Astyanax mexicanus: one gene and its partner. The protein of the gene in region 1 purifies or fractionates together with the protein of each later gene. This does not show direct contact. Links are inferred from orthologs where the notes say so. Each region holds a gene or a part of one and is shown on either strand. Other genes may lie near its edges.

Region 1 (6,999 bases):
GGTTTCATCAAAACAGCAGACATGAGCTTCTCTAAGCAGCTTTATTGCATTGCAATAAAGATAATCTATCTAAACAAGCTTTGCAAACAAAGAAAAAAAACAAATCTGTTTAATATGAAAACTAAATAATTAAACTAATTATTTGGAAGCTTAATAATATAATTATTAATTATATTAAAGTAATACAATATATATAAAATATATATTTCAGTAATAAAAAAATGACTTAAAATACTGTTTACTCATCTACATACAAAAAACTGAAATATGAAATATGTGCCAAAAGTCATGACATATCAGTATTTTACTTGTTCATTAAGTAAAGTAAGTAAGTTGTGAGGTGCTATCTTGTGGGTAAGGTTAAACACTGGCAACTTGGCAAACCTAGTCTATATACTATAATATAGTATATGGCTAGGTCTAATCCTTGTCTGGGAAACTGCCCCTATAAGTTAATGACTACATCCAGTGTTTATTCATCACTCTTGTATATGACCACCTGTGAGTGCTGGTGCCGCTGCAATAAAGCAGTGTGTATTCAGTGATATTATAGTTCAAAAGGACAACAATAAAAGAGCTGCTGCAGAGAGCCAGAGAGCCACGGGAAGTGTGTCAGGCATTCAGTCTTCATATACAGTGAATGTGTATCGATTCCACAGCCAAGTTCTTTACAAATGACTAAGAATGAAAGTGGAATCAGTACTGATTCAAATGAATGACTTACCTGACTATACCACATTTAATCATTTACCCTCACACTGAATTAAACTGTCACAGGCCACCGCCACAGACCTCCACACAACCTGATAAACAAACCACAATCAGCAGAGCGGATTACACCTGCTGCGTTTATTCCTGCACTGTCTGTCCCTCCCTCCCTCCCTCCTTCTTCCTCTCTCTCTCTGACTGTGTGAGAGATCAGACCGTGCCCACAATAACAGAGCTGCGACGTCACCAAGCACGTAGCTAGCTCCCTGTGGACAAAGCTGAGAGAGAGAGAGAGAGAGAGAGAGAGAGAGAGAGAGAGAGAGAGAATATATATATATATATATACATGCCACTGCCAGAAGGATGGTGAGCAACACTCATCAAGTATGATTCACCCATACTCAACTAAACTCCTCCCACAGTAATACAATAATTATACAAACATGTAAATACCTGATATACCATATTAATTACTTGTTTATAGGGGCAGTTTCCCAGAAAGGCATTAAGCCCAGTCATATGCTGTTATCTTCGTTTATTTTACTGAGAGAGAGAAAGAGAGAGAGAGAGAGAGAGAGATTCAGTCAGTGAGGGTCAGTGAGAGAGTCAGTGTCTGAGTGTAAGAGAGAGAGTCAGTCAGTAAGAGAGAGAGAGTCAGAGAGTGTGAGAGAGAGTCAGGAAGTGTGAGAGAGTCAGTGAGAGAGTGAGAGATTCAGTGAGTGTGAGAGAGGCAGTGTCTGCATGTAAGAGAGAGAGTCAGTCAGTAAAAGAGAGAGTCAGTGAGTGTGAAAGAGAGTCAGTGAGAGATTCAGTGAGCGTGAGAGATTCAGTGAGTGAGAGTGAGAGATTCAGTGAGTGAGAGTGAGAGATTCAGTGAGTGAGAGTGAGAGATTCAGTGAGCGTGAGAGATTCAGTGAGTGAGCGTGAGAGATTCAGTGAGAGTGAGAGATTCAGTGAGTGAGCGTGAGAGATTCAGTGAGTGAGAGTGAGAGATTCAGTGAGTGAGAGTGAGAGATTCAGTGAGTGAGAGTGAGAGATTCAGTGAGTGAGAGTGAGAGATTCAGTGAGCGTGAGAGATTCAGTGAGCGAGAGTGAGAGATTCAGTGAGTGAGAGTGAGAGATTCAGTGAGTGAGAGTGAGAGATTCAGTGAGTGAGAGTGAGAGATTCAGTGAGAGAGTGAGAGATTCAGTGAGTGTACAGCTGTACAGAACCATTCTATTACTCTTTATTATAAATCATATGTTTTTTTTTCTTATAATAATTAATTTAATTGTTTACTTAAACTTGTGTTCAGATTTACCTGTACAGTTATCTTATGTTAAATTTTGTCAGGAATATATATATATTTGTTAATCACAGCTTTGGCAATACAAATGTGAATATTTGTCATGCTAATAAAGCAACTTTGAATTTGAATTTTGAATTTGAGTGAGAGATTCAGTGAGTGAGAGTGAGAGATTCCGTGAGCGAGAGTGAGAGATTCCGTGAGCGAGAGTGAGAGATTCAGTGAGCGAGAGTGAGAGATTCAGTGAGCGAGAGTGAGAGAGAGAAAGAGAGAGAGAGACTCAGTGAGTGAGGGAGAGAGAGAGACTCAGTGAGTGAGGGAGAGAGAGAGCCTCAGTGAGTGCGAGAGAAAGAGAGAGACTCAGTGAGTGAGAGAGAAAGAGAGAGACTCAGTGAGTGAGAGAGAGAGATTCAGTGAGTGCGAGAGAGAGGGAGAGAGAAAGAAAGAGAGACTCAGTGAGTGAGAGAGAGATTCAGTGAGTGCGAGAGAGAGGGAGAGAGAAAGAAAGAGAGACTCAGTGAGTGAGAGAGAAAGAGAGAGACTCAGTGAGTGAGGGAGAGAGAGAGAAAGAGATTTAGTGTGAGAGAGAGAGAGAGACTCAGTGAGTGAGGGAGAGAGAGAGGGAGAGATTTAGTGTGTGAGAGAGAGAGAGAGAGTGAGTGTGAGAGAGAGAGAGAGAGACTCAGTGAGTGGGTGAGTGAGAGAGAGAGACTCAGTGAGTGAGGGAGAGAGAAAGGGAGAGACTTAGTGTGTGAGAGAGAGAGAGAGAGAGAGTGAGAGAGAGAGAGAGAGAGAGAGAGACTCAGTGAGTGGGTGAGTGAGAGACAGAGACTCAGTGAGTGGGTGAGTGAGGGAGAGAGAGAGACTCAGTGAGTGAGTGGTTGAGGGAGGGAGGGAGTGAGAGAGATAGTCCGTAGCGGAGAGCTGAACGGCGGTGGCGGCGGCAGCCATCTTAGATATTAGCTGCTCATCCTGTGGATATTTTCATCGCAGCGCGGGTTTAAACGTTGTCTTCGGGCGGAAAGGGGAGAGTAGTCGCTGGTTCAGCCCCTCGGCGTTTGGGAAGAAGACGGGATGCGGGTTCGCGGCGGGTGTGGGGCTGTGGAGCGCCCTGCGGTCGGGCTGCTGCTCGCTGTGCTGTGCGCTGCTGCTGCGGCGGCGGAGGCAGCTAAAGGTAAGCGGCGGAGCGCTGAGCTCTGAGGCTAACGGCTGAGATTTATCGCTAGCTAAACTAACAGCTAGGTTAACTACGCTTTTCTATCCGAGTGATGGGCTTAAATTGTGAGTGTGTGAGCCGGTATAAGCCTACATTTGACAGGAAATCTGAGTAAAGGAGGTCGGAGGGGTCCTTGAAGGATGCCCTGGTTGTTGTCCAAGCCGAACATTGGATGGATGCTGCTGTGCATTTTGTAGCTTTTTAGCTGTTTTTCAATGTCATTAATTTACGCAAGCCTATTTCGAGTGAAAAATGACCCTCACATTTTTTCTAAATTATATAGAGGTCGGTATTTCGTTTCTAAATGTAGAAAACATAGCAGGTTGGTAAGGTGTCTGTCCTGAGCAGTGGGTGGGACTACACCCAAGGGCTGGATGCTAGCTTAGCTAACCTAGCGTTAACTAACATTAGCTAACCTAAATAGACTTCAGCTGGGAAAATATTTATAATAATCAAATAAAAAATAATAGTTTATTTATTACTATAAATTATGAGCATTCATATGAGTCTCTTGACAGTTTACAGTCTAAAAAAGGACAATATATCACGGTTAATATAGCAAGTATAGGGCTGCGCAATATAGCAATATCTATTATTTCAGTATCGCCATGGCGATATGCACCAATCACCTTTCAGGGTTAAATGTCAAATAAACCAAATTAAATCATATCAGTTACCTAATTTCTTCTGGCATAAACAGCTCTGTAAAAAAAGAGATCACTTCAGTTTCTGAATCAGTTTTTGCTACTTTTTGCTAATCCGTTTGATTGATCTATTTATAGGTATATGTTTGAGCAAAATGAAAATTATTGTTTTATTCTATAAACACCTGATGACATTTCTCCCAAATTCCAAATAAAAAAATTGTAATTTAGACATTTTGATCATTTATTTGCAGAAAATGAGAAATGGCTGGAATAACAAAAAAGGTGCAGAGCTTTCAGACCTCAAATAATGCAAAAAAAAAAAAAAAAACAGGTTCATATTCATAAAGTTTTAAAAAAGTTCAGAAATCAATATTTGGTGGAATAACCCTGGTTTTAATCACAGTTTTCAGGCATCTGGGCATGTTTTCCTCCACCAGTCTTACACAGTGCTTTTGGATAACTTTGTCACTCCTGGTGCAAATTAAGCAGTTCAGCCTGGTTGATGGTTTATAATAATCAATTTTTCTCGTGATTGTATTCCAGATATTTTCAATTTGATAAAATCAAAGAAACTCCTCGTTTTAAGTGAACTTTTTTTCCAGAGCTGTATGCCCACTATAGGCCTGGCATATTAAGAATTTTGTGGACGATATATCGTTTCAGAAATTATCGCGATAAAAGATATTGTCATTTTAAGACCCTTACTATAAGCTTTCAAACGATATATCAAATTTTAACATTATACATTTTTTATGTTAATTCTAATAGTAACACCATTGTTAGACCTATATAAACAACATATATTAGGTAGCATAAAATAAATGAAAAATAAAAAAAACGTCATTTTTAAAAAATAAAATCTGAAGTAAACGATTTTCACAAAAAAAAATGTCCCGCTAAAATGCAGCACAAGTCCATACAATTTGTAGAATACATATCGCAGACCAACAAAATATTGCAGTATCTATTTTGTCCAGTATTGTACAGCCCTACTTCAGCATAATAAAAAACACAACCCTCTATAGTGAATGATCCTTACGTGAATAAACAACACTCCAACAAATATTTTTATATAAGATACAAAAGCCTGTATTTTGTTTGTAGCTAAATGTAGAAATGGTAGCTGGCTACTATCTTTTAGTCAATTTTTTTACTGGTCAGGTTAGTTAAGGTGTCTATTCTGAGTAGAAGGACTACACCTCAGGGCTGTAAGCTAGCAAAACTCTATTTTTTATCTAGGAAAATTTACATTTCATGTTCTCCACTAATTAATTTTTGCTTCATCAATTTGACATTATAAAAGAACAGCTTTTGGATCTATTGGTTTTTTCACACTGTTTATGCTTGTTTTTTAATGTCTGGATCATATTTGGATTTACTTTGGCTGGATTTTGTTTTCACAATTCTCTGAAATGATGGTTGGTTAAGGTGTCCATCACCTATGGTGAGCAGTGAGACTACACCCCAGGGCTGTAAGATAGCTAACTCTAGCTTTTAGCTGGAAACCGCAAGATTTAACCTTAGAAATGTTCTGTGTTCCTATTTCGTTAAGCCTTTCTCCATTTAAATGGTGTCTTCTATGTGCTTGACGTATTGATTTGGCTAGAGAGGTGCGGTCGGCGTGATGTTGCTAGAGAGGAGGAAAAAGAGAAAAGACAAATAAGATTTTGTAGCAGCTGGCAGTGTGTGAGAAGGACGAGGTTATACGCATTGCAGGTCCTGTGTGGAGAACTGTGGAATCTTTGGAGAGGCTTTTTTAAAAATGCATTGGCATTATGATGCGATGCCAGGCAGGGAAGTGGGATGGATGGATAGGTGTGTGTGTGTGGTAGGGTATTGCACGTGCAGGGTAATTAAATGGTGGCTGAGTAGAAGATAAGGAGGGTAGGCTGACCACTAGCTTGCTGGCTTTGAGGACATCTAGGCTGGTGTTCTGCATTAGGACATCTCGTTCTGTAAAGCTCTGCATCTTGCATGAAGCAGAAAAACACAGTGCGCATGAAAGGTGCTTATGAAACATTGCCACCACTGAGGAGCAGCTTGTAATAGCAGGCTGCCTCTTGCGCAGTAACACACTTGCGCGCGCGCGTGTGTGTGTGTTTTTCCCTACAGGATGTAATACCTTAGAGGCCATGCGACGTCACATTAGGGTTATGGATAGGCTGCGCATGTCGCATTTCATGCAAAGGAACCAAACCAAACATCAGGGTGTTTCGGATTGAGCCGCTCTGACAGGGCTCGGCGAATAATAGGCTGATGGGTGGCAATGATTGTCAAAGCATAATGTAGTTGCCATGTGAGGCAGCTGGGAATGCATGACCAGAGGCCGCCAGTCAACATATTGGATAATTAAGGAATTGTTGTGCAGCCCTGGGTGCTCGGTTCTCTCAGTGATCTCAAATCAGCTTATAGAGCTGTGTGTTCTGTTTCCATTAAAGGTGCAGTGATTCATAAAATGCCATACAACATGTTTCAATCCCAATTTTTAGTACATTTTTAATACAGCAAAGAGCAACATTTCAAACTAACAGGTGGTGGTTCATCTGACCAATCCAGAGCTTGTTTACACCCTGCATTATCGTATTGTCCATGTCTGGATCATATCTGGATTTACGTTGGCTGGATTTTGTGTACACATTTCACTGAATCGAGCCCCCAGTGTGCTCTGATACCAGACTGTATTTACTTTCCGGCATAATAAACACATCAACACATCCATCACCTCAGTTTAACTCTCATAACCCACTAAAAGCCAATTTTGTCTCTTGTTGCTACCAATATTTAACATGCTGTCAAATACAGCTCTGGAAAACATTAAGAGACCACTTCAGTTTCTGAATCAGTTTCTCTGATTTTGCTATTTATAGATGTATGTTTAAGTAAAATTAACATTGTTGTTTTATTCTAAAAACTACGGACAACATTTCTCCCAAATTCCAAATAAAAATATTGTCATTTAGAGCATTTATTTGCAGAAAAGTTATAGATGAAATAACAAAAAGATGCAGAGCTTTCAGACCTCAAATAAAACAAAGAAAACAAGTTTATATTCATAAAGTTTTAAGAGTTTAGAAATCAATATTTGGTGGCATAACCCTGATTTTTAATCACAGTTTTCATGCATTTTGGCATCATTTTCTCC
Region 2 (6,999 bases), on another chromosome or scaffold:
TTGCACTCTTTCTCCTTTTTTCTTACCCCTATTTCTCTCTCTCTCTCTGTTACCTGTTATCTCTTCCGTTCTGTCTCCTGTTTTTGCTTTTTCTCCCATTCTTTACTTATCTTATTCTTATTTCTCACTCTTTCTTTAACTCATTTATTTTTCTCTTAGTCTCACTTTCTTTCCCTCTCTTGCCTCCATTCCTCTCTTTTCACTCTCTTTATCATAGCTTTCTTTTACTCATACTTATCTTTATCTTTTATTTATCTCTATTTTAACCTCTAACTTCTGTTTCCCTCCCTCTAATCTCTTCACTAACTCCTCTCTTTCCCTATTTCTTATCTATCTTATTCTTTAATACCATCCCCATTTTCTTCCACAATTTTTATTTCTCTCCTTATTCTCATCTGTATCTCCTATTTCTCTTTCTATTCCCTTCTATAACTCATATTTCTCTTTCTCTATTATTTTTGCTGACTCTCTATTTTTGGTTTCTCTCTATTTCCCCCTCTTACTCTTTATTTTTTCTTTTATATATACTAAATATATAAGTATCAATTCTCTCTATCCTCTTTTCTATCTCCTATTTCTCACTTTTCTCTCTTCTCTAACTTCTTTTTCTTTTTTTTCTCTATATTCTCTTAGCTAATTCTTATTTCTCTTCTCCCCTCTAACTATACGTTTTCTCTGTTTTTTCCCCCTTAAACTCCTGTTTCTCCCTTTATTTTCTCTCTCTCTCTCTGTTCTGTTCTCTTTTTCTACTCTATCTTTTATTCTCCACTTTTCTTTATGTCTTCACCTTCTCACTTTCATCTCACTTTCTCATTTCTGCTGTTCTCCTCATCTTGACCATTTTTTTTCCTTCTCTCTCTCTCTCTCTCTCTCTCTCTCTTACACACACACTCTCTCTCTCTCTCACACACACACTCTCTCTCTCTCTCTTTTCCCCCACAAGAGTCCAATTTAAAATTCCCCCACTGGTGCATAAATAACACAGTTTGTCCTTCATCACCAGAGTCGTACGGAGAGCCGGAACGGTGACGGAGGAAAGGTTGTGGAGGTGGAGGGGGTGGATGATGAGGTGGGGATGGGTGGGGTTATTGGGGGGAAGGGGGGGGGGGGGTATTTTGATCAAGTTAACAGCAGGTCGCTGTCACAGAAACAGATCCACCCAGTGGCATAATGATCCAGCAGCATGCCTTCTATCCCTTAATATTTCCTTTCATTATCTACCTCTCTCTTTCTCCTTCTCTCTTTTACCCTCTGTTTATCCCTCTGTTTTAATCTTTCCCTTCTCTCTCTCCCTCTCCCTCTATCTCTCTTTCTCTCACTCTCTTTCTCTTTTCATTCGTCTCTGGTCTATATCTGTACTGTACTGTATTCGTATCCATCCTTTCTGCAAAACCCACACAGACTGGGTGCAGCTGTACCCACACACAGAGCTGGGTGCACGGATCAGGTTAAAAATGTGGTTGGAAGGTTTGGGTAAAGGTTTGAGTGGAAGGTGCAGGTGGAAGGTTTGAGTGGAAGGTGCGGGTGGAAGGTTTGGGTAAAGGTTTGAGTGGAAGGTGCGGGTGGATGGTTCAGGTTAAAGGTGTGAGGGAATGTTCAGGTGGATGGTGAGATTTGGGTAGAAGGTGCAGTTAGAAGGTTTGGGTGGACGGTTTAGGTGGAAGGTTTGGGTGAAAATTGTTGGTAAAAGGTTTGAGTGGAAGGTTTGGTTAAAGGGATTGGATGAAAGGTTTGGGTAAAGGAATTGGGTGAAACTTTTGGGTGAAAGGTGCAGATAGAAGATGCTGATCACTTTTACAGCGTTTGTTTTTAGGTGAAAGGTGCAGATGGAAGGTTTGGGTGGAAGGTGCAGATAAAAGGTTTGGGTGGAAGGTGAGGGTGGAAGGTTTGAGTGGAAGGTGCGGATGGAAGGTTTGGGTGGAAGGTGAGGGTGGAAGGTTTGAGTGGAAGGTGCGGATGGAAGGTTTGGGTGGAAGGTGCAGATGAAAGGTTTGGGTGGAAGGTTTGGGTGAAAATTGTGGGTAAAAGGTTTGGTGGAAGGCTTGGTTAAAGGGATTGGATGAAAGGTTTGGGTATAGGAATTGAGTGAAACTTTTGGGTGAAAGGTGCAGATAGAAGGTTTGGGTGGAAGGTGCGGATGAAAGGTTTGGGTGGAAGGTGCAGATAGAAAGTTTGGGTGGAAGATGTTGATGAAAGGTTTGGGTGGAAGGTGCGGATAGAAGGTTTGGGTGGAAGGGGCGGATAGAAGGTCTGGGTGGAGGGTTTGGATGGATTGTGTGAATGGAATGTTTGGGTGGAGGGTTCAGGTGAAAGGTGTAAGGTAAATGTGTGGGTGGATGGTGCAATTTAGGTTTAAGCTTTGGGTGGAAGGTGCGGGTAGAAGGTTTGGGTGAAAGATGTGGGTGAAAGGTGTGTTTTTATCTCTGAGTTTAGATCTGAGTTGTGTTCAGTAAACAGACAGATACTGAAACTGTGTTTGTGATGGTGGTGTTTCTGCGGTATGGCTGATCTGCTGATGCTGTAAGATACAGTAGATCATCATCACTGAATCTGTGATTGATCAGTTTACCCTCATACCAAACACAAACACGGCCAAACCATTCAGCTCCAGCTATTTATTCATTTCTAAACGAATTTACTTCAGTTCAAATGCTGATCACTTTTACAGTGTTAGTTTTTAACCCTTTAATACCTGGAGCTTCACTTAATTACCAGAAGATATTTATTAGAAGAAGTTCATTTAATGAATATAATAATGTCTAAAATGTCTATATAAAGTATAAAAAGTTAATAACACATTTTTTTGTTTCGTATAGTAGGATGTGTTGGACACAATAGATTTGAATGTATTTTAATGTATATTAATGTTTTTTCCCTTTTTTGTATGATATCAGATATTGCAGAAATGTAACGCTGAGAACAGGTTTTTAATATAAATATTTGTATATATTTTTAAATGTGTTTAGAACATTGTTTAGAACATGTTTTCATGTATGTTTTTTTATCATAATGTTTTTGTTAGTCTTTATAACTGCACTTAAGGATGCAAAGTTCTTAAAATGTTTCAGACTGACTGACCTTAATTTCTTAAAAGTATTTTTTCTTTATATAATTGAGTAGTTCTTGTCATAATCTGGATTAGAACATTACTCAAATATTCACTATTCACTGTATACCAAATCAACATCTTCACAACTTTAAAACTGATGCTCTCAAAATGATTATAATTAAGAAGTAACTCTTGACAGCACAGCACAGCTGTTAACTGAAAGCCTGAATTCCAGGTGACTCTACCTTATTAAGCTGACTCCAGCCAATTATGTGCAAAACTGTTACCTAAGTAAATGGTGTATAAAACATATTCTGGTATGTTTTTCTTTATTTTAAAATAATGAAAAACATTGTTCATTACATATTAATTAATTTCCTAATTTCTATTTGAGATCATTTATTATTTAATCATTACACTGACGTTCCGGAGGTCTCAAAAACACAGGCACTAAAGGGTTAATCAGGGCAAGTACCACTGATAGCATCCTCCCAGCTCACAGAGGAGCATCTCCATAGACTTTTAATCAGAAGAAGTGATAGAAAACAGCAGCTGCAGCTCCATCTCCGGCTGAATAGAGTGTTTCAGCTTTTATATTAATATTTAAATCCATTAAAACAAGACAAACCCCAAAAATGAGCTTATAGAGCATGCGCTGTGCTGCGCTGTGCTGTAGTGGGTGGATGTGAGGCTGATGGATGGATAAGCGCTGTTTAATCAGGGTATAAAGGTCATTAATGAGCATTATCTCGGTACAGGTGTAACACAGGGAGAGCAGTACCTGTATATCCGCCGCCGCCGCTGCTGTAGATCTGCGGGTAAAGCGCTCCGTGCTGCCCGCGGATCAGACCCGCCGCCCTGCCGCCGCCGCCGCCGCCGCTTCAGTACGAGATGCTCTGAGAAGCGATGCGCTCTGACTCCACCCGTATTCCGGAGGCCACGCCCTCCCTGCGCTGTGATTGGTTCCTTTTTTGTTTCTTTTTTTTCCCTCATTTATTTTATTTACTGAAGAACATGAAAAGGTTTTCCATACATATCAGGGCATTATAACAAATAAACAAATATTAACACCACGTTATATATTCGGTACCACTTTAAAATAAGACTACCTTTATAAAGGGTTTATAAATGGTTTACAATTCGTTTATAAATGGTTACTAATTAGGTTGTAAATGCCTTTAAAAATCATTAATAATCAGTTATAACACATTTGTAAAAAAGGGCAACAATGACCTGTTGTTTGCCAAATAGTGAACCCACAGCCATCAGTGTTGCCCTTTCTAATTATGTGTTATAACTGATTATTAATGATTTTTAAGGCATTTACAACATAATTAGTAACCATTAATAAACTAGGTGTAAACCATTTATAAACCCTTTTTAAGGTAGTCTAATTTTAAAGTGGTACCCTATATTCTATACATATTATGTATAATTTAGTGGTCGTCTATTTCTAGTGCAGTCCTGTTTAATCAGAATGTTTTTAATGGTCTTTGCAACTGCACTTGAGGATACTTTCGTAACTTAAGTTTTTGAAATGCTTCGAATTTACTGACCCTCATTTTAAATAACAAATAAACAAATATTAAGCAAAATTTTCAAGGCTTCACACCAACATATATTATTTTAATATATATTAGGTATAATTTAGTGGTCGTCCTGATGAGAGCCAGTTTCATCATTCTTTGCGACTGCAATTAAGGATACTTTCAAAGTTCTTGAAATGTTTTGAATTAAACGACCTTCATTTCAAATAACAAATAAAGAAATATGAACCAAAAAATACAAATTAAAGCACAGACATGGATTAATATTCAAGGCTTTACACCACCTTTCTCTATGTGTACATGTACTCCATATGAATATGATTGCAGTCCAATTAAAATATCTCCAAAACATCTCCAAAACAGCTACTTTACAGAAAAGAGACAAAATCTTCTTAACTTTGTTTCCGGCCATTTTGGAGAATTTCTATGGGTTTATTTATCAATAAATTTTCACACAGGGTAATGTACAGTTTGTATGTTTAAACAATGTAGTCAGATAAAATATGAATGAAATTGGAGATACTTGTTTTTATTGGACAGTGTTGATCAACATCACCCTAGGTGTGATGAGGAGAAAGAGCCCTATCTACCCACCCAGAGAGAGCAAGGACTATTGGGCTCTCTCGGGGCTCTGGCAGCTGTTGGCAAGCTACATAATCAGGATTCGAACCGGTGATCTCCTGATTATAGTGGTAGAGCTTAGCCCGTTGTGACCTTTCATCTTTTACAAATCATGAAGCTCCCTCCAAAACCTTTTAGATATCTTGCACAGGGAAAAAATGATTCAATGATTCTATATCTGCCTCACAAAAAATACAAACATATAAAATACATTACATACAACTAATTAATTAATTAAAGCTGCCATTGGTTATAATGAATTAAAGCAGTTGGATGTTTTGGAGCGCACTTCAGAGCTCAGTGTTCGCGCCTCCAGCCAACCGCAATACGGGGGGGGGCGGGGCTTGTCGGAAAACGGGCGGAGAAAAAAACAGCAATAATAACCGCTATGAGCCCCGGAATCTGGACCACAGCCCCGGAACATGAATAACAAGAAAAAGAACTGGATAAGGAGTAACATTAAAGAGAGAGAGAGAGAGAGAGAGAGAGAGTCATTAGAGACATTAATCATTAATAAATCATTATTATTTTTACTGTTATTTTTACTATGCACATTCTTTTACTATTACTTATATTTTATATAATTCTTAATGATTTTGTAAACATATTATATTTAAATTATTTAATGTATGTTAATTTCCCAATATATTTACTTATAAAAGCGAGAGAGAGAAGTTAATAAATCATTATTACTTTACTAGTTATCTTTATTATCTTTATATTATTATCTCATATTTAATATAATTCTTTATGATTTTGTAAACCTCTTCTCTTTTTAAATGATTTAATGTAAAATTTGCTAATATATTTACTTATAAAAGAGAGAAAGCGCAAGAGAGAGAACTTAATAAATTATTATTACTTTTACTGTTCAGCTATTAATTTTACTATCCAAATATTATTATCTCATATTTAGTATAATTCTTTATAAATGTATTCTTCTTTTTAAATGATTTAATGTAAAACTTCCCAATATTTTTACTTATAAATAAGAGAGAGAGAGAGAGAGAGAGAGAGAGAGAGAGAGAGAGAGCTAGAGAGGGAAAGTGTCACGGAAGACGGAGGGGTGTGAAGGAGGAGGAGGAGGAGGACGTAAGTGCAAAGAATCTTTTATTAAATAAACAAAACAAAAGAAAACAGATTACATAAACTAAGACTAAGACTGGGGTAAAGACTGGGATACAAACACTAAGATACAAGGCTAGGCTACGAAGGCTAAACACTACAAAACAGGATACAAGGTTAGATATACAGGCTAGGAAACACAAACTAGAAAACACAAAAGACTCGACACAGCACGTACAAACAGAGGGGCTTAAATACAGGAGGAACACCTGGGCAGGGCTGATGAGGGGGCAGGGCTACAGATAAGACACAGGTGAGAACACTGATGGTTAGGGCAGGGCTAAGACGTGACAGATACATAACAGAAACACGTGGCTGTGAACACATGACAGGAAAACAGAGGGGCAGGAGCACTAGGGAACAAATGAGGGAGAAACATAACACAGACATGGGCTAAGGTGTAACATAACCCCCCCTCAACGGCGCCACTTCCAGAGGCGCCGAGAGAGAGGGAACAGGGACTGGACAGGGGACACGAACGGAGACTGGACAGAGGACTGGACAGGGAATGGAAACTGGACAGGAGACGTAGACCGGGCAGGGAACTTGACATGGGACGGAGACTGGAATGTAGACTGGGACGGGGACAGGACACATGGCTGAACAGGGGACTGGACAGGAGACAGAGACTGGACAGGGAACGGAGACTGGGACTGG

Evidence for each region.
Region 2: the proteins of clstn1 (region 1) and apba2b purify together in Homo sapiens (affinity purification with western blotting; 3 studies listed by BioGRID and IntAct, with this or other methods). This does not show direct contact. The link is inferred for Astyanax mexicanus from reciprocal best matches to the Homo sapiens genes CLSTN1 and APBA2.

The regions. Positions count from the first base shown.
Region 1 is NC_064420.1:40,643,020-40,650,018, forward strand, and holds the start of clstn1 (calsyntenin-1), read left to right. Parts: upstream 1-2,936; 5' UTR 2,937-3,068; coding exon 3,069-3,168; intron 3,169-6,999. UniProt on the Homo sapiens protein: Postsynaptic adhesion molecule that binds to presynaptic neurexins to mediate both excitatory and inhibitory synapse formation.
Region 2 is NC_064430.1:30,493,948-30,500,946, forward strand, and holds the start of apba2b (amyloid-beta A4 precursor protein-binding family A member 2), read right to left. Parts: upstream 3,945-6,999; 5' UTR 3,831-3,944; intron 1-3,830. UniProt on the Homo sapiens protein: Putative function in synaptic vesicle exocytosis by binding to STXBP1, an essential component of the synaptic vesicle exocytotic machinery. May modulate processing of the amyloid-beta precursor protein (APP) and hence formation of APP-beta.